Macaca fascicularis: one gene and its partners. The protein of the gene in region 3 interacts with the protein of the main gene of each other region in a biochemical or structural test. Links are inferred from orthologs where the notes say so. Each region holds a gene or a part of one and is shown on either strand. Other genes may lie near its edges.

Region 1 (5,970 bases), on a different chromosome or scaffold from region 3:
AAAAAAAAAAAAAATCTCTCAGAACTTTCTGGGCATTTGGTAAACTCATGCTGGGGGAGAACTGGCAGAGACATGTTAAATGCCCTTGACCACAAGAACCATTCATTTCATCCAACATTTACCAGTTATTCATTGTATACCTATTATAGATTTTGGCACTGTAGATATAACGAGAAAATGCTATCCCTGACTCATGAAACTTATCCAAAAAGTAGAGAACAAGGCTCAGAGCCATTCAAATGAAGCCTCAGTTGAATCAAATAAAAATAAGTTTTAAATATTTAATGTGAAAATCTTCGAGTATGTTAAGAATGGCTTGATTAACCCCAGGGATAGAAATTTTACTGATTGAAAGAAAGTTTCAATAAAATATCAATCTTTGAATCTTATCTGACACTTGAAACTAGGAAATCAAACACTAGCCATATTTTTTCTTCTATAGTTTATAATAAAATTCCTCATGAGAAAAAAGACATTTTTCTTCCAAGCCTGAAAATAGATGGAGAATTTTTAACATTTATTGTTGCAGAGGACAATAAATAGACTATCCACTTTTGCAAATGAGTGCTGGCATTGAGCCACAGAACATGTCTGTCATATAACTCTTTCACACCATACATTAACAGAAATAATAATTTCCCCTCATTGAGTTTCCTATTTACTATCTCTTTAATTGTACCTGCTTTAATTGCTGTCATGGAGCGTCTGAATTTTATAATCCAAGATACTAAGATGTTTATTTGATATACCACCTCCACACTTAATGTCTTATAATCTCTGCCAAGAATTTTAAAATTTTTGTTGGTCTGACAGGAAGAGGAATTCCATGGTTTGGTGAACCCAGAAAGTCTTCAGTACATCTCAGTTATAAAACTGCTAAATACACTTAAGTTCTATAATTCTATAAGACCCATTTGAGGTTTACACACTGAGCATCCAGTTCCTCATCTTCCTCTTCATAGGTTAACCCTGTGTAGTACAAGTTCTACTCCCATAATTCTATGAACAAAACAGCCCTTGATACATAGGTTTGATTTTTAAAATATATTTTCTTTACTTTATTCTAAATGTAATATAAGGTCAACATAGAAAACAGAAAACTGAAAAGCATAAGGAAAGTGAAATATCTATAATCTTATCAACCATTATTTTTGTTGTATTCCCAGTTTTTTATATATATTAGTATGGTACTTTTAATAAAAGTAATGCCAAAAGGCATATGCCAATTTGAACTCTGCTTTTTCCACTTACAATTATATCAGTTTCTCATATTTGCTATTCTTCTGCAATATTTGCTGCATAGAATTCCATCACACAAAGCTAACTACCAGAAATTCCTTATTACTTTTGCTAGACACTTAGGGTTTACATTTTTTAAAATTTATAAATCTTTGATCACAGCTCTGATGATTTCTCTGGGAACTGATAGCCTAACAGAACTCATGTCCACTTTAAGACTTTTAACATTCTGAAAAATTGTATTACAAACAGAGTGCTGGTCTCCCTGCAACACGTTCACTCACACTGGCTGAGGTTTTAATTCTTTGCCAGTCTGAGAGGAAGAAATGCCAACTCTTTGTTTGCTCTTGTAATGCCAGTCATGTCCCTTTTTTTCCTGTTACCAGTCATACCGGTTTACTACTCAGAACCCTACAAATCAATCCTGCTCATTCTTAATTTTCCGATATTCTTCCTAAGATTGTTTCACCAGAAAACTTCTCCCCCTTATCCACTCTTCACCTAACAATTTCTACCCACCCCAATCCTCCTGCATTCATTGCTTCCAACTGGCACGTAGGACACCCTTGGTCTTACATTGTTTATGCATGTGTATTTAGTCTTCAATAAAACATTCAGTTGCTCAAGGGCAAGGGCCCCATAGAGTCTCAATATGCTAACGGCCTGGTGTTGCCTAATAATTTAGATTCTGAGGGGTCCTCTCCAGGGAGGGGAGCAAAGAGCAAATTATCTTAGGGGCTGGGAGTGCAGAAGTCAAACCTTTGAGATTGTGAAAACAAGACGGCCCCGAGAAGATTCAGTAGCAGGTATTCAAGCAGGAAAAACTCACATATTGTTTCTAATAATGCCTGACTAATGCAAAATACCAAATAAGGGCCCAGGCAGTCCAGACGGCCTGCAGGGCCCCAGGATAAAACTAACCCTGAGGGGTGCTGGCCCACGGTGACCCCCTGCCTGGACTCTGGATCTCTGTTTTTACGTCGAAGTGCTTTATTCTTGATTCTCGAGTTCCCGGAAACGATGACCAAAGCAGCTTAGTTTTCCACCCTTCCTTGGTCACAAATATGACGATGAGGCAGCCCTTTCCCGCACGACGCCTCAGGCTTCCGGGATGGTCAGCCAAAAGTTTACCAAGAAAAGAGGCGGGTCCCGGAAGCCAGGGCAGGTAGGCCCCGCCAGGGCCACGCCCTGTCTCCTCGAAGGCCAACGGCTACCTCGGGCTCCGACCCCACAGCCCGCCGATTGGTCTCAGCCTCCCTCGTGAGTCGACTGACTTCCGCCCCCGGCGCGGTTCAGGCCACGCCCACCTGTTCTGCGGCCCTAGATACTTTGTGAGTTGGTGATTGTTGCGTACCATAGCCGGACTCAGAAGGGGCTTCCCTGCTCGGCTGGCTCTCGGTTTCTCTGCTCTCCCTCCGGAAAAATAGCGGCGTCTTCCGCATCGCGCCATGGCTTCTTCCGGCCGCCGCGAGCGTCCCTTTTCTTCCGGTCGGTTTCCTGGGTTGCTTTTGGCTACCCTCGTGTTGCAGCTATCCTCCTTCTCCGGTAGGACCCCGGGGCGAGTTCGCGCGTCCGCGGCGAGGCTAGAGCTCTGCGCAGTCAGTCGGGCAGGAGGCGCGGGGCGGGGCTCACTGCACGTCGTGCCTGCCTGGGATAGAGAGCGAGGCCAGGGTTCTCCGAGGGGTGTAGTGCTCAGATCCTGGGGGTATGTGGCGGGGATTGCGGGGACCACGCAGAGCCCGAGGTGAAGCTTGTTTCGGGGCGTGGTGTGCGCGGCCGGCATTTACGCAGGATCTGGCTGTGTCCCCTTCAAAAGCGTGAACAGTGTTTTCGGGATTGAGCCCTGTCGACAAGGGGAGTGCGGACTGCGCGCCCCAGGTGAGGGCTTGCTCTGGAGTGCACAGGTGCGTGGGAGTGTTGCTAGGGCCCGTGCTGTGCCCGTGGTGAGAGTTTGCCCTGTGTTCCCTTGGTGCCTTGGTGAGTGGAGTGTTCATTAGGGCTTGGACAGTACCCGCGGTAAGGGTTGCAGTGCGTCTGCTGTGCCCCATGTGCTGGACTGGGCTGGGCGAGAGGGGCCTGACCAGGTGTTGCTGGGAGCCTGTTGTGCGCAAGTGGCCTGTGTGCAGAGTTCACTGTGGGCAAGACAGCTAGCTCACTGTTTTCTTTGAATGGAGTGAGCGCGGACTCTGGGGCTGGGGAGGGCATATTGGGTGAGAGCAGGCTCTCAGTGCCTGGTGTTAGAGAGGTGGTAAGGGCGCGCCATGCTTTTTGTGCCTTCTGTGAACAGACTTCTGTGTTGCCTGAGCTCCTATTAGTTTTTAAATGGCTGCTTTTTTGGGGGTGGGTGGACCATCGAGTCATCTTCCTGTTCCCAACCAATAGAGACAGTATCTGATTCCATTACCTAATGGATTTTTGACATTGTTTTCCTTCTTTTCATTAGAGTCATATTTGAGAGATGTGAAGCAACCTAAAAAACACTGGTAACCAAGCCTAGTGAGAAATTAGTATCCTAACAAAGGAAGGCAAATAATGTTAATCTTGTTTTCCCCTACAGCTCATAAACTAAAGCTTAAGGCCTATCCCACTAAATTTGTATTGTATTTCATTGAATGGAATCAGTAATTTTAAAAATGCATGCTAGGCCAGGCGCAGTGACTGACGCCTGTGATCCCAGCAGTTTGGGAAGCCCAGGCGGGGTGATTGCTTGTGCCCAGGAGTTCGAGATCAACGTGGGTAACATGGCAAAACCCCATCTGTACAAAAAATACAAAAATTAGCGGGGCATGGTGGTGTGTGCCCGTGGTCCCAGCTACTCTGGGGGCTGAGGTAGGAGATTCGCTTGAGCTCAGGAGGTGAAGGCTGCAGTGAGCTGTGATCATGCCACTGCACTCTAACCTGCATGACAGAGTGAGACCCTGTCAAAACAAAACAAAACAAAACAAACCGCTAAGAAATACATGCTTATTGTATGACACGAACAGAATCAAAAGACAACTATTTTTAATATTTTGGTATATTTCTTTCTGACTTTATGTGCGCTTCATGTGTATCTATGTCCAAATTATATTTAGGATCTAATAACGTATAGTTTCTGTGTTGCATTTTTTTCCTTAGGAGCATTTGCTCAACGAATATGGGTTTTGTATGTCTATTGCTATTACACTGGTAGGCAATAACAAACCATTCCTATTTTCTTGATCCTTTTTTCACTATTGGTTTACACACACGTTCATGCAGGAAGATAAGCAGAGACTTTGTTTTGCTCGATGCTAAGTGCTCAGTGCCGGGAACACAGTAGGTAACCAATCAATTATTTGCTACAATGTATTGGGAGTGGCAGACATTAACCAAAACTTAATAGTAACAAATAAATTATGAACCAAGGGAAGTTCTCTGGAGGAAAGGCGTATAATTTTCAGATATAAATCTGACAGCATTTAACAGATGTCTCGAGGGAGGGAAGGCTTTTCTGCTCATCAAACAGACTTTGGGGGCATCTGTGCTTGCTGTTCCCTCAGCCTGGGAACACTCTCCTCCTGACCTGCTGCAGAAACAGGCTTGCTCTTCTGCAAAGTCAGCTGGAAGGTTATGCCCTAGGAGACCTTCTCTGAACGCGCCCCCCCCGCCCCCGCCCCCGCCCCCGCCCCCACAACGTCCCCGCCCCCACAACGTCCCCGCCCCCACAACGTCCCCGCCCCCACAACGTCCCCGCCCCCACAACGTCCCCGCCCCCACAACGTCCCCGCCCCCACAACGTCCCCGCCCCCACAACGTCCCCGCCCCCACAACGTCCCCCATCTCAGGTTGAACATACAACCCGGTTCAAGTCCCTCTTCACTTGTAATCACCCTTTTAAAATGACCTTTTCTGTTTTTTGTCTCTCCCTGTTAGAATGCAGGGATCCTGCCTGTGTTGTCATACTTGTGGTTCCAAAAGCCCCATTTGTTTGCCTCCATATCTGTTAAATACCAGAAAATTAAATATACTATTCGGCTGGAGTTTAGAGCCTAGGAAAAAGCTCCTCCTGCCTCTAAGAGGAAGGTTGTTTAAAGAGCTCTGCTCAGGATGGTCTTTCTGTGGTACCTAAAAAGCTAGGGCAGGGGCAGCTGAGGGCCAGAAAGGATCTGTCTCCCCTGTTTGTGTTAACTTTGCAGAGCTTCCGGTACTTCAGTCTTGCATCTCACTGATCATTAAAACGTTCATTTTGAAGGAGGGTGATGGGAGTAGGGAGCAGTGGTGATAAGAAAACGAGAGGACTTTTTCTTTTTGTCTTTTACGATTAATGCTTAGAATAGGCTTAGTGCTAGAAGTGCGGCCTGAGCAACATAAGGAGAGCCCACCTATACAAAAAATTTGCCCACCTATACAGAAAATTTAAAAAAAAAATTAGCCAGGTGTGATGTTGCACGCCTGTGGTCCCAGCTACTTGTGACGCTGAGGGGGGAGGATCACTGGAGCGCCCGCGGTCAAGGCTGTAGTGAGCCCTGATTGTACTCCAGCTTTGGTGACAGAGTGAGAGACCATGTCTCAAACCAAACAAAACAAAACACAAACACACACAAAACAAAACAGGAAGTTGAAGAAGATGATGAATGCGATTTGAAATAGAGGAACATACAAAAATAAAATGAATAGGGTGCAACATGGAAGATAAAACTAAGAATGAAGAGAAGGAAAAACAAGGTTAAATTTGAGGTTCATAAGCATAAATCAAGACAGGTATGAAAC
Region 2 (5,899 bases), on a different chromosome or scaffold from region 3:
CTTGGGGTCCTAGCCCCCACCTTCTGATTGGGTTTCTGGAGTGGCTGGGGTGCCCTGCACACAACCTGCTTTCTTTTGTTTCTCTTTAGCCCCTGCAATGCCCGCTGCCCGGTGCTGCCCCCCTGACCTGCAGGAGAAGGTCTCCAGGCCCCAGGGCAGCAGATACACTCCTGCTCGGTAGGACCCCTGCCTTCCCCCACTGCCCACACCCACTGGCCTGAAAAAGAGGAATGGGAAGCCCGGACAACTTGTGAATGAAGCTTCTCACCTACTTGCCAGGGGCCCACCCCCTTCCCAGGCTGGTGGGGAGGGGAGGCCCATCCCCCTCATCCCTTGCTTCTCCTCAGTACCAGCTGTCCATGGGGTACTCCCGGCTGTGGGTGGTGCAGGCGTTGGGAGCTGGGAGGCTGAGGCCTGTGCTTCCCTCAGGTCTGTGCACCCAGCTCCACCATCTGTAACATGGGCTTATGAATGTGCCTGGCTGCTGGGCGGCTTGACGAGTGGACATCGAATGGGCCACTCTCTTCTCTGCTGGTAGAGGATAGAGGCCCCAGGTGGAGATGCTGTCAGCACAGCTGGGGCAGACCAGGGGAGAACCCCCGTCCAGGGATCCCCTCCCCTCCCAGGCCGCCCCTCCCAGGCCACCCCTTCGAAAAATGTTGAGGACTGGCCCCCGAGCTAGGGCTACATGGGCCATTACTTCTGGCCTGGGGCTCACAGGCAGAGATGCCAACGGAGGCACACAGGCAGTTGCACCCGATCAACACTAGGCCTGAGGCCTTCAGGCCTCCCTGTGCCCCACCCCACCCCCACCTACCGGGAGCAGAGGACGTCGTGGTGGGCAGTGTCCTCAGCCTGGGAGCCGCACAGCCCCGCGCTTCCTTCTATGGAAAATCTGCTCCTCCAGGCTGCCGGGCTGCTGTTACATAAACATCTCTGCTGCCTCCAGACGCCTCCTCTCCTGGGGCGCTGACCCCGAGATGTTACCCCAGGCCTGGAGAAGTGAGGCCAGCTTCTGGGAGGACGCAGGCGAGGGAGGCTCCCAGCAGCAGCTACAGGGGGGGATAGGCCGTCTGCACTGGCTGTTTCCAGAGTGCTCAGCACTTGGCAAGAGGTGTGCCAGGAAAGGCTCGCTGGAGTCAGGTGTGAGATTTGTCCCGCTTTCTGTGCCTCCCTCTGCCACCATGCTCTGCGGTTTCTGCAGCCACTCCCCCAGGCTCCCGAGTCCTAGGTCCCTCTCAGCCTTTCAGTCTCCCTTCAGGGCAGGCATAGCCCTCCTACTCCAGGAGAGCCCCCAGCGCCTTCTGCCATCGCACTCACCACCCTGTGTTGGAGTGGGGAGGGGGCGCTGTTTGTCCCCAGCACGAGGCTGTGAACTTTGCGCAGGGACTATGGCAGGCATTTTGGACTCCTGGCGCTTAACCAGGCTTGGCACAGGGTGCCCGTGCCTGGCATCGTGGTGGAGAAATAAATCAGCCGGAAGGGGCACGTGGGAGGGGCTGCGCCGGCGCCAGCGGCAGATCCGCCCGACCCGTTTGTGCTTTCTGGGGCCACCTTAGGCAGGCGGCGCCCCGGCAGGAGGAGGACGGTGACCGAGGAGCATGTCGACGCGGGTCCCCCCTGGGGCAGCGGGGCGCAATACGTCCGCGAGGCACTGGTCCAGGCTGCTCCCTTGGGGCGCCCTAAACTCCCTGCCCTGAGGCCGCTGCGCCCCCATCCCTCGCGGTCAAGTGCTCAGGCAATCACGGCCAGGGGTGTCTGGCGGCGATCGATCCTCTGGACGCCTAAAGCCGCAGCCACGGGGCCCTGGGGAGGGAGAGAAGCCGCTGGGCTAGGGGCGCACCCACGGCTAGGCCACTTCTCCCAAAGCCCTGCCCCGGGCCCGGGGTCCCCCAACGTGGCCTCAGCTGCTCCCCGCCCGGCCCAGAGCACGGTGGACACAGCTGCCTGCGGCCTCGCCCTCCCTACTCCACCCCGGGCTCCTCCGCTTATTCACATGCAAACTTCCGTCGCCAATTGTCGCCGAGCGCGGCAACGGCCAGAGCCGGATCCTTCCGCAGCCCCGGCTCAAACTTTTGGCCTCTGAAAACTTTCAAACGAGAAGTAGTCCCAGGCGCCCGCTCCCGACCCACGCCGCGCCGCCGGGTCCCTCCTCCCCGGAGAGGCTGGGCTCGGGACGCGCGGCTCAGCTCGGGGAGGCGCAAAGGCGGACCCAGCGCGCGGGAGGAGGCGGCCGCGGAGGGGGCGGGGGGACCGGTGGGGGCGGGGCCGGGCGGGGCGGGGCCGGTGGGGGCGGAGCGCACCTCGACTCTGAGCCTCACTAGTGCCTCGGCCGCGGGAGGGAGCGCAGGGGCGCGGGGCGCGGGGCGCGGGTGCGAGCGCAGCGAAGGAACGAGCCAGGCGCGGAGACGGGCCCGGGAGCCCGCGGGAGCACAGCGCCAACTGCCAGCCGGGGAAGAGAGGGCGGGACTGTCCGCCGCCGCCCCGGGACCGTCCGCCGCGCGTGTGCGTCCCAGCCCCGCCGGCCAGCGCAGGAGGCCGCCGTCCGGGCGCAGAGGGCAGCGGGGGGGAGGCATGCCGCCGCTCCTGGCGCCCCTGCTCTGCCTGGCGCTGCTGCCCGCGCTCGCCGCACGAGGTAGGCGCCCACCCACCCGCGAGCCCCCACTTTCCGCGCTCTTTGGAAACGGCAGCGCCCGGCGCACGCGCCCCGTGGCTGGGAGCGGGCGTGGAGAGGGAAAAGCGGGCGGCCCGGGGCGTGGGGTTCTTGGAGTCCCGGGCTGGGGGAGGACCGACCCTCCCCCTCGATCCCCCCGTGGAGGCGGACTCGCGCCGCCCGTGCCTGGAGCCGAGTTTGGAGGCCGGCGTGAGGTGCTGGGGTCCCGGAGGCCCTACCCGGGCCCGCCCTTCACCCGCCGCGCGTGGGGCTTGCCGCCGGTCGGCCGGGCGGGCGGGCTGCCTACTACTTTTCGATTTGAATAGAGTCGGTTTTGGTTTCCTGTTGCTTCTCCGGGCCATTTATCTTCTTTCTTCTTCGCTTCTGGCCCACGCCGGGGCGGATGTTGGGGCGCGGAGTGTGGGCTCCGCGGCGCCGCGTTCGCCTTCACTGACCCGCGCGGCCCGGCTGGGGCCCCGGGCTCCCGGTCGCCCCGCCCGCCGGTGCCCCCCAGCCCAGCTCTCAGTTTGGGGGAGGGGTTTGCGTAAGAAGCCTTCGTGCCGGGGGGCACTGAACTTTTCCTTTTGCTTTGCAGAGTTGAAGTTTGGAGAGCTTGGGGGTGGAGAGCGGGACGCGGGTGGGGGGCTCTTACATCTCTCCTCGCCGCACATCGAGGGGGGTCTCTGGGGAATCGAGTGATTAATCCACTCTTTCTCCGGGAGTTGCAGGCGAGAATTATTTGTTCTCTTCCAGAAAGTGCTGCTCTATGTCACACCACCCTCCCCCGTTTCTCAGCCCCCTAAGATGGGGAGGGAGGGGCTTGAGTAATTGATCCCTTCTCGAGATGGGGTCGAATTCCTTCCGAATGGGGGACCTTCATCCCCCTCCTGTGTGTGTTTGGGGGCTGCCCTAGAGATGCGCGCCCGCGGGAGCAGGTATTGGGTGTCGGCGGAGGCGGGGCCGGGTCTCCGGGGTGCAGTCCTGGTGCCCCTGGAGGCGGCCCCGACTCCACAATGGGCCGCTCTGATTCTGAGGCGGAGGCCGGCGCTTTGTTGGCGGGCGGGGCAGCGGGCGAGCAGCTGTCGCATTTTCCCACGGGCGGGAGCTGAGTGTGGCCACCCCCCCTTCCCGCCGTCCAGCTCTGCCCCCTTGCAGAACGGGTTTGAACAGAGGCAATCTCGGCGGCTGGATGGGGGGCCCTGCTCTGCCAGCCTCCCCAGTGAGCCTCTGGGGTGGGGGGCAACGCTTGGGAGAGTAGCCCACTTTGTCTCTGCTTTTACCCCACTGCGTCCAGGCGGCACGTCAGGCCACCCCATCCTGCTTCAAGCAGGACGTGTTCCCTGCTGCTCCTCTTCCCCCCATTTCTGACTACAGAACTCTGGGCAGAATGTTGACGCCCTTTGGTTTCATGGTGGGGCTTCCTGTGGTCCCCTGCCCTGGTAACCCATGTCACTGAGTAGAGGCGTCCAGGGTCGGGGGAGGACAGTGCCCCTCGGCTGGGTGCGGGTCCCACCCCCAGGGTAACAAGGGCCTTCGGTGGTGCGGGTGAGACTGACCTCTCTTCTCCTGCCCCTGCCTAGGCCCGCGGTGCTCCCAGCCGGGTGAGACCTGCCTGAATGGCGGGAAGTGTGAAGCGGCCAATGGCACGGAGGCCTGCGTGTGAGTACCACCCCTGCGGGACCTGTTGCTTTGTTGAGGGCAGAGCCCCTGCCTTCTGCAGCCGCGCTGGGGACAGAACCCTGGGGCATTGTCTTCTGGAGATGGCCCAGAGTCTGGGCACGGTCACGTGCTGACTTTTATTGGACAAAGTCTGGCAATTACTTAATCACCAGCAATTATGCTGCGTGTGGAGCTGGTCTGACTGCTGGGGGCTTAGGCACTCCTCTGTGGGCCACCTCAGGCTCCTGGGTTACTAAGTGGGAGTCCCAGGACCCCAATTCTTCTTAAAGTCCCCAAGAAACAGTTGATCTGTCAGGGGAAGCTCTGGACCATTTACTGAGAAGCCCAGACCCCACCACCCTGCCAACTTGGGGCACCTCCTCTGGGCGGGTGATGCCTCCTGGGCAGGTGATGATGCCTCCTGGGCACAGGTGATGCCTCCTCTCCAGGGGTGATGCCTCCTGGGTGGGTGGTGATGCCTCTTGGGCTGGTGGTGATGCCTCCTCTTGATGGGTGATGCCTCCTCTGGGCACAGGTGATGCCCCCTGGGTGGGTGATACCCTCTATGGGTGGGTGATGCCTTCTGGGCTGGTGGTGATACCTCCTGGGCACAGGTGATGCCTCCTGGGCTGGTGGTGATGCCTCCTCTGGGTGGGTGATGCCTCCTTTGGGCACAGGTGATGCCACCTCTGGGTGGGTGATGCCCCCTCTGGGCGGGTGATGCCTCTTTGAAGGAAATTGACCCTTCACAATTGGACCCGCCTTTGGGCTCTTGTTTGCCCCAGCTCCCTCCTCCCGGCCTCAGGCTGGGGCTGGGGAAGAGAAGGCGGAACTCATCTTTTGGCGCGGGGTGTGGGGTAATTATTGAGTCTGGTTTCTGTCCTGGCATCTGCAAACTCTGACCTCCAAATCCCGTGGCCCTTTTGGTCTGCCAGGCTCAGATGTAAAATGGGCATGGAGGGGGCTGGGAAGTCGCGGGGAACCGCTCCCTCCTGCCTGCCTGTGAGTGCCAGTCGGCGGTGGGGAACTGTTCTGCTGTGGCCGATGCCCTTCAACTTGAGTCCATCCCTGATGAGAATAATGAGGAGGTGTTTGGTGGCTGGAAAAAGAGTTCCCTCCGCCCCCCAGGAGCTACAGATGAAGAAATGGCTCCCCAGCCAGTCTGGGCGCCCTCATTCCAACTGTAGAAGGTCCCATTCCCTTGACAACCCCAGCCCGGCTCCTGCCTGCGCCGACTGCCCAGCCTGTGGGCAGCAGCCCCCCTCCCTCCCCGGCCCCCACCCTCCCCAAACTGAAGCCAATTAAGCAGGTCCGTGAGCAGTTTAATGGACAAAGCCGGCTGTGTCTTTGTCAGACACTAATGAATGCGCACACTACTTTTTTTTTTTTTTTTTTTTTTTGCTTTTTGGGGCCCCCTTCTCCCCCTGCAGAAGCCGCACGGACGCTTGATGCCCTAAATCTTGTTTCCTTTCATTCAGAGACCGACAGCTGGGATCCAGGGGAAGTGCAGCAGCTATTGTTGGGGGAGGCGGATTAATGCCGTGTGATTAATTATGCGTGGCTTCCCAGAATGTATAACCCCGTTCC
Region 3 (5,910 bases):
CAAATGGGCTAAATTCACTGGTGGACTCGAGGTGACACCAGCTTGCACGTGGCCCAGACTGCAACTGGTGGCACTTGCAACCTCAGGTAGCCCTTCTAGGTGAAGCCAGGTGGAGATCTAAACACTTCAACTAAAGGTCTGGCTCTGCAGCCTCTTTCCTGAGAGCTGTGTGGGGCACAAGGCACAGAATTAAAACAGGGTCAGACACAGCGAACTCTAAGGAGGGTGCACTTTGAGATCACACCAGCCTTTTTCAGCACCATTTTGCTTTTTTTTTTTTTTTAGATGGAGTCTCGCTCTGTCGCCAGGCTAGAGTGCAGTGGCATGATCTCAGCTCCCTGCAACCTCCTCCTCCCAGGTTGAAGCGATTCTCCTGCCTCAGCCTCCCGAGTAGCTGGGACTACAGGTATGCGCCACCACGCCCAGCTAACTTTTGCATTTGTAGTAGAGATGGGGTTTCACCATGTTGTCCAGGATGGTCTCAATCTCTTGACCTCGTGATCCACTCGCCTCGGCCTCCCAAAGTGCTGGGATTACAGGCGCGACCCACAGCGCAAGGCCCATTTTACTTTTAAACCGTTATTTAGCACCCAAACTCAGGGATACATGGAAGTATAAATTATAACAGGACAGATAAGTGGGGAGACTGATGTTGATGGAAACTTCAGTGAGAAAAGTGTAGATAGGATTACAGTTGACAACTGGATGCCTTGCATTTAGGATAACTGGGAGAAGGGAGGCTGGGACACATTGAAACACCCAGGTTGTTGCTGCCTACCCCACTTGCTAACATGACCAGTCTTAAACCTGCTCTGTTCTTAGAAACCTCCCTTCCAAAACGTGGATTATCTCGCCAGTGCTCAAGATGGGACACATTAACACTAAGTAAGCACTTTTCTTAGGAGCATTTCTTAGGCTGTTAAAATGCCAAGACTCCTAACCATCCTTGGTAGCTTTGAACCTATGTAAAGAGGTCAGTTAGCTGCCCTAGTTTATTCCTCAGAATGATGAGATCTGGCACTGAAAATGTTGTTCATACTGAGCCTCCCATCAAATGCAGTAAGTAGATAACCACAAACACCCACCCTTTTATGCTCATAACTCAGCATGTTGGAAACTATTTTCCCTTGACCTATTGCCAGCCCATCACGCCCCATACTCAGAACTCAAGTCCCAAACCGGCCGCTGAACAGTCACGCTTTTCTGCAGGACATACCCAATGTTAGGGCCAAAACTTTGTCCACCCTTCAAAGGAAGTCGATGTTTCCATATAAAGGCCCCCTCAAATGCAACAGCAAGCCCGTTGGGAGAGGGGTTGGCAGAGGCTACGGCCAGCCCATGGGCTTTCTTCGACCTTGATTATGACCGGGAGTGTAGATGTTAATTGCCAGGCTTGCCTCAAGGTGGAAAACAGTATCGGTTTCCACTGCCACCCCAGAGAAGGCAAGTTCCGCGGCTGGCGGTGGTGGGGACACGGTCCCTTCCAGGCCCCTTGCCACCCAGAGAGCAGCTCGGAGGCCGCCTACAGGTGCAATACCGGCACTGCGGCCGGGGCGGCGGGCCGGGGAGGGCTTCCAAGCCCACCAGCATCTCCGCAGGCCCTTCCCAAAGCCTGAACACGGCCCCGGCGTGCCCACCGCCTTCTACCCCCGGTTTCCCTGCGCCTCTGCCCCGGCGCGGTTTGGAAAGGAAGCTGGGAGCCCTCCCAGGCTCCGCAGACTCGGATTTGGGAGGGAGTGGGGCGCGGCCGAGGCTTCCCCTCGAATCTGCGGCAAGCCTGGCTCCAGGAAAGTTTTTCAAAGTTCCCAGCAGCGTCTGCCCAGGTCGCCTCCGCGGGGCGAGCAGACGGCGGCAAGCGCGCCAGCCTCGCCGCCGCCTCTGCCGCCAGCAGAGCGCTCTGGGCGGCTCGCTCGCGGGAAGCGGGCCGAACTCCCGGCGGGCAGGCAGGCCCTCCTCCCGGGGCAAAAGCCGCAGCTGACGCAGGCGGCTCGGAAGGCGGAAGCTGCCCCGCTCCGACCGCTCCGCCAGCGCCGCGGCGCCTACACCTGGGGCCCCGACGCGCGGGCAAAGGCTCCCGGTCCCGGGCGCCCGAGGGGGCGGTCCCCGCTGGGGGCCTCCACGCGTCCCTAAGCAACCATCCCTTCCAAGTACCTCCCCGCACTCTCCCTTCCCTCCTGGCCCGAAGCTCCCGAGAACAGGGGTTGCTGTGGGGCCCCGGTATTTCTTTGCCGCCCTAAGCATCCACGAGCCCCCGACCCCTTCCAAGTTCCTCCCCGCACTACCCCCTCCCCAGCAACGTGAAGGGGAGGGGCGTGTCCTGGGTGAGCACGCCCTCTCATGAATATTAATAAGGGCGCATGCGCCCTGCCCGGCGTGCTGGGTAGAGGTGGCCAGCCCGGGCCGCGGCTGCCAGACGGGCTCTCCGGGTCCCTCTCCGAGAGCCGGGCGGGCACGCGTCATTGTGTTACCTGCGGCCGGCCCGCGAGCTAGGCTGGGTTTTTTTTTTTCTACCCTCCCTCCCCCTTTTTCCATGCAGCTGATCTGAAAGGGAATAAAAGGCTGCGCATAATCATAATAATAAAAGAAGGGGAGCGCGAGAGAAGGAAAGAAAGCCGGGAGGTGGAAGAGGAGGGGGAGCGTCTCAAAGAAGCGATCAGAATAATAAAAGGAGGCCGGGCTCTTTGCCTTCTGGAAAGGGCCGCTCTTGAAAGGGCTTTTGAAAAGTGGTGTTGTTTTCCAGTCGTGCATGCTCCAATCGGCGGAGTATATTAGAGCCGGGACGCGGCGGCCGCAGGGGCAGCGGCGACTGCAGCACCGGCGGCAGCACCAGCGCGAACAGCAGCGGCGGCGTCCCGAGTGCCCGCGGCGCGCGGCGCAGCGATGCGGTCCCCACGGACGCGCGGCCGGCCCGGGCGCCCCCTAAGCCTCCTGCTCGCCCTGCTCTGTGCCCTGCGAGCCAAGGTAGGAGCCCCTCTCCGGGCCTTGCTCCCAGCCATCCTTTCCCTCCCCTCGCGGCGCCCTGGGCGGTTGAGCCCCGCGAGCAGGCTCGGCAGCCTTCGAGCGCCCGACTCCTCGCCCCTACGCCGGAGCGGCTGCACCTGGGCTGAGCGCGCCAACTCCCGGGAGCCCCGGCCTCCTGAGGGTGACCCCTCCAGGCCGGGCAGGGGCGCGTTCGCTCCGCTCTTGCCCCCCGGGCAGTCGTCGTCGTCGGATTTCTTCCGCACTCGTGCATTTTTTTTTTTTTTTTTTTTTTTTGCCCCGGAATCATGTTGAGTCCTTGAACCTAGTTTTGCAAAATTATTTTCACTCGGCGCGGAGGGCTCGTCGGGGCGGGGAGTGGGAGGGAGTCGCCACCTCTATACTCGAAGAAAACAGCTTTCTCCGGCGCTGACCTTCCTCCTTCCCTCGCCGGCAGGTGTGTGGGGCCTCGGGTCAGTTCGAGTTGGAGATCCTGTCCATGCAGAACGTGAACGGGGAGCTGCAGAACGGGAACTGCTGCGGCGGCGCCCGGAACCCGGGAGACCGCAAGTGCACCCGCGACGAGTGTGACACATACTTCAAAGTGTGCCTCAAGGAGTATCAGTCCCGCGTCACGGCCGGGGGACCCTGCAGCTTCGGCTCAGGGTCCACGCCTGTCATCGGGGGCAACACCTTCAACCTCAAGGCCAGCCGCGGCAACGACCGCAACCGCATCGTGCTGCCTTTCAGTTTCGCCTGGCCGGTGAGTGACGACTCGGGAAGGAGGCCAGGCGGAGACTCACACCCGCGCCTGGCCGAGCTTTGCTATCCCCTGCTAGAGGGATTTAAAGGGCTTTGGCTTGAAACTCGGCGCTAACGGGGGAAATCTCTAGGGGTGGCGGTTGGGGGAGCCGGGACACTATAGTTAGATCTCGACCGGGGTAGTCGAGATGGGTCCCATTCCTGCTGCTGTTTGCCTAGTGCACAAAAGTGGGGATCCCAGAGGGGTTATGGGACCAGGCTCCTAGGAAGGCCGGTGTAAACTTGCAACTTGAAGTTCCCGGAGTAACCCTCCCGGCCCCAAGCCAAGAGGTCGTTGTAGCTGATCTCTTTTCTTAACTAATTAAACCTGGTGCGCCGTGGAAGGCGACTCGGCGCAGTTCTGGCCTGCGAACGCCGTCCAAATTGGCAACCTCCCCTTTCCCGTGAACGGCCGGGAGGGCGGGTGTGTCCTTCCTGGAGGGTGTGGGGGAGTCCGTTTCCCGCTGCTCCCCGGGAGATTTTAGTGTGTGCGGGGGCGCTCTCCGGGCTTGGCTCAGGGGCCGGGGGCGGCTGCCGCAGGAGGAGGTTCTTGGGGCCCTCACAGGAGCTGTAGACCCGGGAACCCCCGCCCGCTGCCGGCCCCTTCCTGCCCCCGCCCCCGAGTGGTGTAGCTCTTGTGGCCTCACTTCCAGCGGTTCCCGGGCTCTGGAACAGCTGTGTTTGCAGACTTCCCCGGGAAGGGCGGGTGCACGGCCCCCGCAAGCCTTCGGGGGCCGTGCCAAGGCCTGGAAGGGGTGGTCTTCTGGAGGTGGTGCCTGCGGGTGCAAGTGATAGACCCTCATCCTCCACCCCATTCCGCCCCCAAAGCAGCTCGAGGCCCCGGGCCCAGCTGGCAGATCCTGCAACGAGGCCCTTGCAACATCCCAAAATGGGTGGAAGGAAGATGGGTGCGATTGCAGAAGGGGAGGAAAGGGAAATGTTGGGGGTGTGCCCTCTGCCTGGCTCCCGCTGTCCAGGAGGCATGACTCATTGCCAAGACTGGGGTTTGGCCTAGCCTGTGCTGGGAGGGTGGGTGGTGAGAGGGGGAGCTCGGTGCCCCAGAGGATTGCTTACCACCACGTGCTCTAATGGGGTGCACTCTGCTGCCTCCTGTCCGCCAGCTTTGGCTGTGATTCTGGGAGGAGACGAGAGAGGGGAGAGTATCAGGCTGTGACTGTGTATGAAGCTTGGGGTGGCTCTTAAAATCCACGTTTACAGGAGCTGGCATTATAAGGTGCCCTCCGCTGTGGGTGAGATAAGACACTTATCAAAAACTGCCATGAAAAAGGGTTTATAAAAAAAAAATTAAAACCAACACTACTGTATGTGAAGCTCTCTTGAGGTCCAAGGACTGCTTCTGTTGTGGGATTTCATTTTTACCAAGAGTATTTATCTTGTTTGTTAATCCCCTATTAGGGAGAACTTTAAGCTAAAGAGCCTGGCTACCTTTAAATCTGGCTGGGCCCAAGCTGACTGTGAATACTCAGTGCCCTTGAACGTGTGTTTGAAGTTTAGGGGGAAGGGGCCTGCAGGTGGTTCCACCCTCCTGCCGGAGGATCTGTCTGGAGCCCCTCGCTTTTCACAAGACCATAAAAGGAATCTTATTAGTGATGTGGAAAAGCAGCAGCCTGGCTGAGGCTCATTTTGGAGAGTAGGGTCAGAGGGATGGCTAGCATGAAAACAAGGAGGCTTGCTCTAGTCTAGGCTGGCCAAGGAAAAGTGACCTAGAAGGTGCGTCTGTCCCCTTTTGACACTTGGTCAGCGAGTGCTCAATGGAAAAGGAGCGGAAATAGTGTGGGAGGGCAGGAGAAGCGATTGATTTGCATTTGCTGGTGCTCTTCTGTGGTTTCAGGCCCCACGGGTCACCAACCATGAAATAGACTCTCCGCTTTTCTCGAATGGGGGAAGACCAATGGGGCAACGCTGAGAATGTGGTTCTTTTGAAGTTGGGACAAACACATGTATCACAAGTCTCCACCCTCATGCCCCAAAAAGGCCTGTGAAACATAAGCTTTACTTCTCAAGAGAAATTGGAGTTTAGGTGTGTTTGTTTTTCTGTATGTGGTTGGAGAAACGGCACAGTCCATAACTTTCAAGAATGATTCCAGGCTGAGTATAAACGTAACTGAAACACTTAAGTAGCTGAGCAAG
Region 4 (5,197 bases), on a different chromosome or scaffold from region 3:
TCGATGATGAAGGGCCCCAACCAAAGAAAGTGAAGGTGAGGTGGCCATGGTAGAACCACCATTGTCAGACATTATCTGATTACATTTCAAATTTCTGTCCTTTAGCTCCAGAGTGTCCTGAATGGGAGTAAAGAGTGATAGTCTTTATATGTTACCCAGACAATAACTATCCTAGGTTCTTTTAAACAGCAGGAATCCTTAGGACATTGATGACCTTGGGTTACCTATGTATACTCTTCAAGAATAACTCTTTAAAAATATTAAAACAAACACGTCTCTTTCCTTTAGTGTCGTGCTGGCAGTAGTCAAGTCAGGAATGGTGTGTGTAGATGGCAATTCCTTCATGGCCACGTCTCTTCCTTATCCTTTATGGGTACTTCTCCTTCTATAAGAAAAGATGAAATTAAGCAGTAGAAGAAAGCCAGTGATCATTGACATTGGCAAAACGAAAGCCAGTGATCATGGCAAAACGTTGACATTGGAGGCTCCATACTTTGAGCCCAGGAAACTAAAACCATATAAAAGCAAGTGGTAGATTGAGCTGAGACTGACATGAAAAAGGAGACCATCCATCCACAGCTGTGCATTGCTGGGAGCTGGTAGAGCGTGATGGTTAAGAAGACCATCGCTGGCCCTCACCCCTCCTCAGGCAGAGCAAGAGATGGATGTGTTGGATGTGAATGTCCGGGGCCCAGGTCAGCACCTGGCCTCTTCCCCTCTTCACTGGGCTGTGTCTGCCCATGGTTCCACATTGCTGTCCCTGTGTTTGCCCCATCCAGCCATACACCCCTTCTCAATTTCACAGGCTCTAAATCAGCTTGAGGAAGTGAATGCTTAAGGAATGTAGCCGTGAAGAAATTATGATAGTAACTAATCTTTAGTTAATATCAGAACTGGATTCAAATCCAAAACTCTGCCACTTAGTAGCTGGCAAGTTACTTAACCTCTTTGTAATTATCATTCCTTGTAAAATGCAGATAATAATAACCCTTTCGTCTGTGGGTTGTTGTGTTGGCATATGTGCCTTATCTACTTTCCTGTCATGTACTAAGTGTTCAGTAAAGGGTAGCTGCTTTTAAATTATCATAATTATTATTGAATAGTCTTTCCTGAGTGCTTTCTACATGTTGGGTGCTATGTTGAGTACAAGGAAGCAATGTTGAACAAGGCTTATTTTGCCTTCTCGAGAAGCTTACAGCCTGGTGGTGGAGATGGCCATGTAATACTATGTAAGCACTTAAAACAAGATCAGTTAAGCAGAGGTGAGCAGAGTATGCTTTTTAGGGCCAACAAGAAGAATTAAAGTTTACTTTCTAGTGGAGGGTAGGAAAAGTGAGAATTGGGTGCTCTGGAGATCTAAAGGCTAAAGCCTAGAGTTTGGGATGGGGGAAGGGAATTGCCTAGATGATGCAGGAAAAGTAAGCAGGAGCCACATCACGAGAGCAGTGGGAAACCAAGGCTGAGGTAATCCTCCGGAGAGGTGGAGGAGTAGGAAGAGAGAAAACAATGGGAGATAAGCAGGGTTGGTGGAGGCTCTGGACAGCTTCTCATTAGCAGTTTCTGGTGGTGGCCAGATGGATAGGGAGCGTTGTTTTCACCTTTCAGGCTGAAGATGAAGCCTTACTCTCAGAAGAAGACGACCCCATTGATCGACGGCCATGGACACAGCAGCACCTTGAAGCTGCAGACATCCGTAGGACACCATCGCTGGCCCTCACCCCTCCTCAGGCAGAGCAGGAGGTGGATGTGTTGGATGTGAATGTCCGGGGCCCAGGTCAGCACCCGGCCTCTTCCCCTCTTCACTGGGCTGTGTCTGCCCATGGTTCCACATTGCTGTCCCTGTGTTTGCCCCATCCAGCCATACACCCCTTCCCAATTTCACAGACTGTAAATCAGCTTGAGGAAATGAATGCTTAAGAAATGTAGCCATGAAGAAATTATCAACTCAGAAAGGGAAGGATTTCACATTGTTTCACGTACAGTGTGTTGAGACTAAACAGGCTGATAAAATGGGTTAGATTGTAGTAGGATAGAAAAATAATATCCCAAAGCAGAGGATAGTTAGTTAATACCTTGTGAATATATCAATTGCTCTATTAATATTACATATTTTTAAATGTCCAATTAAAATAACATATCACTTAAACTTGAGCAGAAAAACTTGTTTTACTTAGAGAAGAACCCCCAGCTTAAAAAGACTTGTACTTTCCCATTATTCTTTACAGAAACGATGTTATCAGAGGAAAACGTAGCAAATGTGAAACTAATAACCAGTTACTACAAGAAGTGCAGGGAATTCTTTGCCCCTAAGAGTAACTAAAATAGAGCTGTTTCAAGCTGAAGATAGGGTTAACTGCCTTCTCCTTCTTGAGTACTTTATGGAATTTTCCATTCCTACAGATGGCTGCACCCCATTAATGTTGGCTTCTCTCCGAGGAGGCAGCTCAGATTTGAGTGATGAAGATGAAGATGCAGAGGACTCTTCTGCTAACATCATCACAGACTTGGTCTACCAAGGTGCCAGCCTCCAGGCCCAGACGGACCGGACTGGTGAGATGGCCCTGCACCTTGCAGCCCGCTACTCACGGGCTGATGCTGCCAAGCGTCTCCTGGATGCAGGTGCAGATGCCAATGCCCAGGACAACATGGGCCGCTGCCCCCTCCATGCTGCAGTGGCAGCTGATGCCCAAGGTGTCTTCCAGGTGAAGAACATGAGAAGAGTCACTTGAATAATAATTCCTATGGCTCTGTACAGTTTTATCTTTTTTAAGGAACTAATATCTCATTGAATTTATTCAATCATTTGAGAGATTAGGGCAGGTATTAGAGTCATGCCTGCTAGATGGGAAAGTGGGAGGGGAGACAGGCAAACTGACCCAGCTCTATATAGGAAGATAGTGATAGAGCCAACTGCAGACAACAGCAGTCTTTCTGATTATTAGTGATAATTTGTTGTGCCAAGATGCTTCCCAAATGCATAGATTAGATGAGAGTGATACCTGTTCTGGAGCCTTTGACTTGTATCCACTACTGCTTACGGATTGGCCTGACTGTATGGGCTTCCAGCTGCTCATTGGCAGTTTTCTTGACCTGAGTTCCTATTATATTCCCTGATGCCTGTTTATCCTTACGAGGAAATCGGAAGCATTCTGAATCACCTTAGACTGTAGACTGACTGAAGTTGTGATATTTCCCCACATCCCTCTTCTTTCCTGAGGAAGTAGAAGGCTCTTCACTTTACATCGGCCATTATTTATTGAGCACGTATTTGTTTATTCAATCAACAACTATTTATTGATTGATGACGATAGAATCTTGGGCACAAAGATAACAAGACTTTCCCTCCCCTCTGGGAACCTACAGTGTAGCCTCAGCTCTGATGCCCTTGTTTCTTCACTGAGTTTCATTATTTTCCTTCATCCAGGTGACTCTCTTTTCTGTATTTTCTCCTCTTCTAGATTCTGATTCGCAACCGAGTAACTGATCTAGATGCCAGGATGAATGATGGTACTACACCCCTGATCCTGGCTGCCCGCCTGGCTGTGGAGGGAATGGTGGCAGAACTGATCAACTGCCAAGCAGATGTGAATGCAGTGGATGACCATGGTAGGGATGAAAGGCAGGGATTTGGATTCTTACCTGCAAAGCATGCCTCTGAGGAGGGGGAATGGTTACATGACCCTTAAAGAACTGTCTGAGATTCAAATACATGGGAGATTCACTCATTCTTTCATTCATGCATTTATTCATTCTTCCTTTAACATGCTGAACTCAGAGATCCAAGCCAGTAGGAGATCCCTAATTAAAATGAGGGATTTTTAATGAGGGTTCTTGGACCTCAGAGCAGATACATGAAAGGTGTTCCCATGTAGTTTCCTAGGCATACCACTCTTGATTTGAGGATTTATGAGAGCTGACTTCTCTAGGAGAGTTGTGGAATATTCTCAATATAAATTCTGACATGTAATACATAGGTTTTTGTCTTCAGTATGTAACAGGGTAGATTCTGCCATGTAGGGGACATGAATACCTCATACAAGTGATCCTTTCACCTAGAGGTCTTCTGCAGGCTAGGCAGCCTGTGCTGAAGTATTTCTAGAACAGAGGAAAAGGAAGAGATTACTTTGGTTTTTCCTATAGACCCCTACAGAGAACTGCTTCCTGCTGATCTCTGGGGAATTTAAAGTTTCGTTGTACAAGTCATGGTGTTTTTTACTAAGAGTATGATATGTCTGTTTATAAAAATGTTTCTCCCCTTCAGGAAAATCTGCCCTTCACTGGGCAGCTGCTGTCAATAATGTGGAGGCGACTCTTTTGCTGTTGAAAAATGGGGCTAACCGAGACATGCAGGACAACAAGGTACAATTTGTGGCTCTGAGTTTAAGGAGGCTCATAACAGTGCCTCAGTTATAAGCCCCTTCCCATTTCTCCTTACAGCTTCTCTTGTGATATGTATAGACAAAGATGGAAGCAGTTTGGGCAGACACTGGGTTTGGAGAGCTTGATGAGAATATAGGGCTTGTCCAGGCATGTGTCAGGATGGAGTTCTTTTCCCTCTCAGTATTCAGCTTGCAGTAGGCTGGCTATAGATAGCTTGGTGTAACCTTTTCTCTCCCTGACATTCCTTTTCTCCAGCTGTCTCTTCTGTTCATAGTCACTTCTTTTTCTCTTGTTTTCTTTCTTTTTTCCCTCCTGCTGCTGCTTTTTCTATCCTTGGATACCCTGATGTTTTCCTGTTTGATTTTTCTCCGTCTGAGTTTTTTGTCCTGCTTCCTTCTGTCATTCATCATCTCTCAGTTTTCTTCATTTTCCTCATCTTAGTCCTTTCTTGCACATGTTTTGTCTCTTCTTTCTTTCACTGTTTCCCTTATTTTTCCCAGTCCTGTGCATGCCTTAGTTTTTTCTCTTCCTACCTTTCTTATTTGTAACTCCTTTTCCTATTAGAACCTTATTTTGATAAGCTCAGTACTCTTTTAAGTGAGTCTCTGGCTCAGGGGCATGCTTTATTTTATGAATTCCCAACTAAAGAGATGTTCCTCCTAAGGTGCAAAATTGTTTTTTGAGGAGAGGTGAAATAATCTTACTCTTTTTGTGTATAAATCACAGATATACATTCAGTACACTGGTAGAGGCACAGCCTATCTGTGATGTTAATATTTCATCGGGGAGATAATTAGGAAAACATGTCTAAGGGGGT

Evidence for each region.
Region 1: the proteins of JAG1 (region 3) and CD46 form a complex in vitro, tested with the Homo sapiens proteins (2 studies listed by IntAct, with this or other methods). The link is inferred for Macaca fascicularis from reciprocal best matches to the Homo sapiens genes JAG1 and CD46.
Region 2: the proteins of JAG1 (region 3) and NOTCH1 form a complex in vitro, tested with the Homo sapiens proteins (3 studies listed by BioGRID and IntAct, with this or other methods). The link is inferred for Macaca fascicularis from reciprocal best matches to the Homo sapiens genes JAG1 and NOTCH1.
Region 4: the proteins of JAG1 (region 3) and NOTCH2 form a complex in vitro, tested with the Homo sapiens proteins (2 studies listed by BioGRID). The link is inferred for Macaca fascicularis from reciprocal best matches to the Homo sapiens genes JAG1 and NOTCH2.

The regions. Positions count from the first base shown.
Region 1 is NC_088375.1:65,570,091-65,576,060, forward strand, and holds the start of CD46 (membrane cofactor protein), read left to right. Parts: upstream 1-2,561; 5' UTR 2,562-2,687; coding exon 2,688-2,784; exon of another isoform or gene 2,785-3,143; intron 3,144-5,970. UniProt on the Homo sapiens protein: Acts as a cofactor for complement factor I, a serine protease which protects autologous cells against complement-mediated injury by cleaving C3b and C4b deposited on host tissue.
Region 2 is NC_088389.1:2,813,591-2,819,489, forward strand, and holds the start of NOTCH1 (neurogenic locus notch homolog protein 1), read left to right. Parts: upstream 1-2,319; 5' UTR 2,320-2,574; coding exon 2,575-2,635; intron 2,636-4,233; coding exon 4,234-4,312; intron 4,313-5,899. UniProt on the Homo sapiens protein: Functions as a receptor for membrane-bound ligands Jagged-1 (JAG1), Jagged-2 (JAG2) and Delta-1 (DLL1) to regulate cell-fate determination.
Region 3 is NC_088384.1:76,678,068-76,683,977, forward strand, and holds the start of JAG1 (protein jagged-1), read left to right. Parts: upstream 1-2,411; 5' UTR 2,412-2,880; coding exon 2,881-2,961; intron 2,962-3,415; coding exon 3,416-3,721; intron 3,722-5,910. UniProt on the Homo sapiens protein: Ligand for multiple Notch receptors and involved in the mediation of Notch signaling. May be involved in cell-fate decisions during hematopoiesis. Seems to be involved in early and late stages of mammalian cardiovascular development.
Region 4 is NC_088375.1:114,479,229-114,484,425, forward strand, and holds part of NOTCH2 (neurogenic locus notch homolog protein 2), read left to right. Parts: coding exon 1-35; intron 36-1,605; coding exon 1,606-1,774; intron 1,775-2,400; coding exon 2,401-2,702; intron 2,703-3,458; coding exon 3,459-3,606; intron 3,607-4,261; coding exon 4,262-4,359; intron 4,360-5,197. UniProt on the Homo sapiens protein: Functions as a receptor for membrane-bound ligands Jagged-1 (JAG1), Jagged-2 (JAG2) and Delta-1 (DLL1) to regulate cell-fate determination.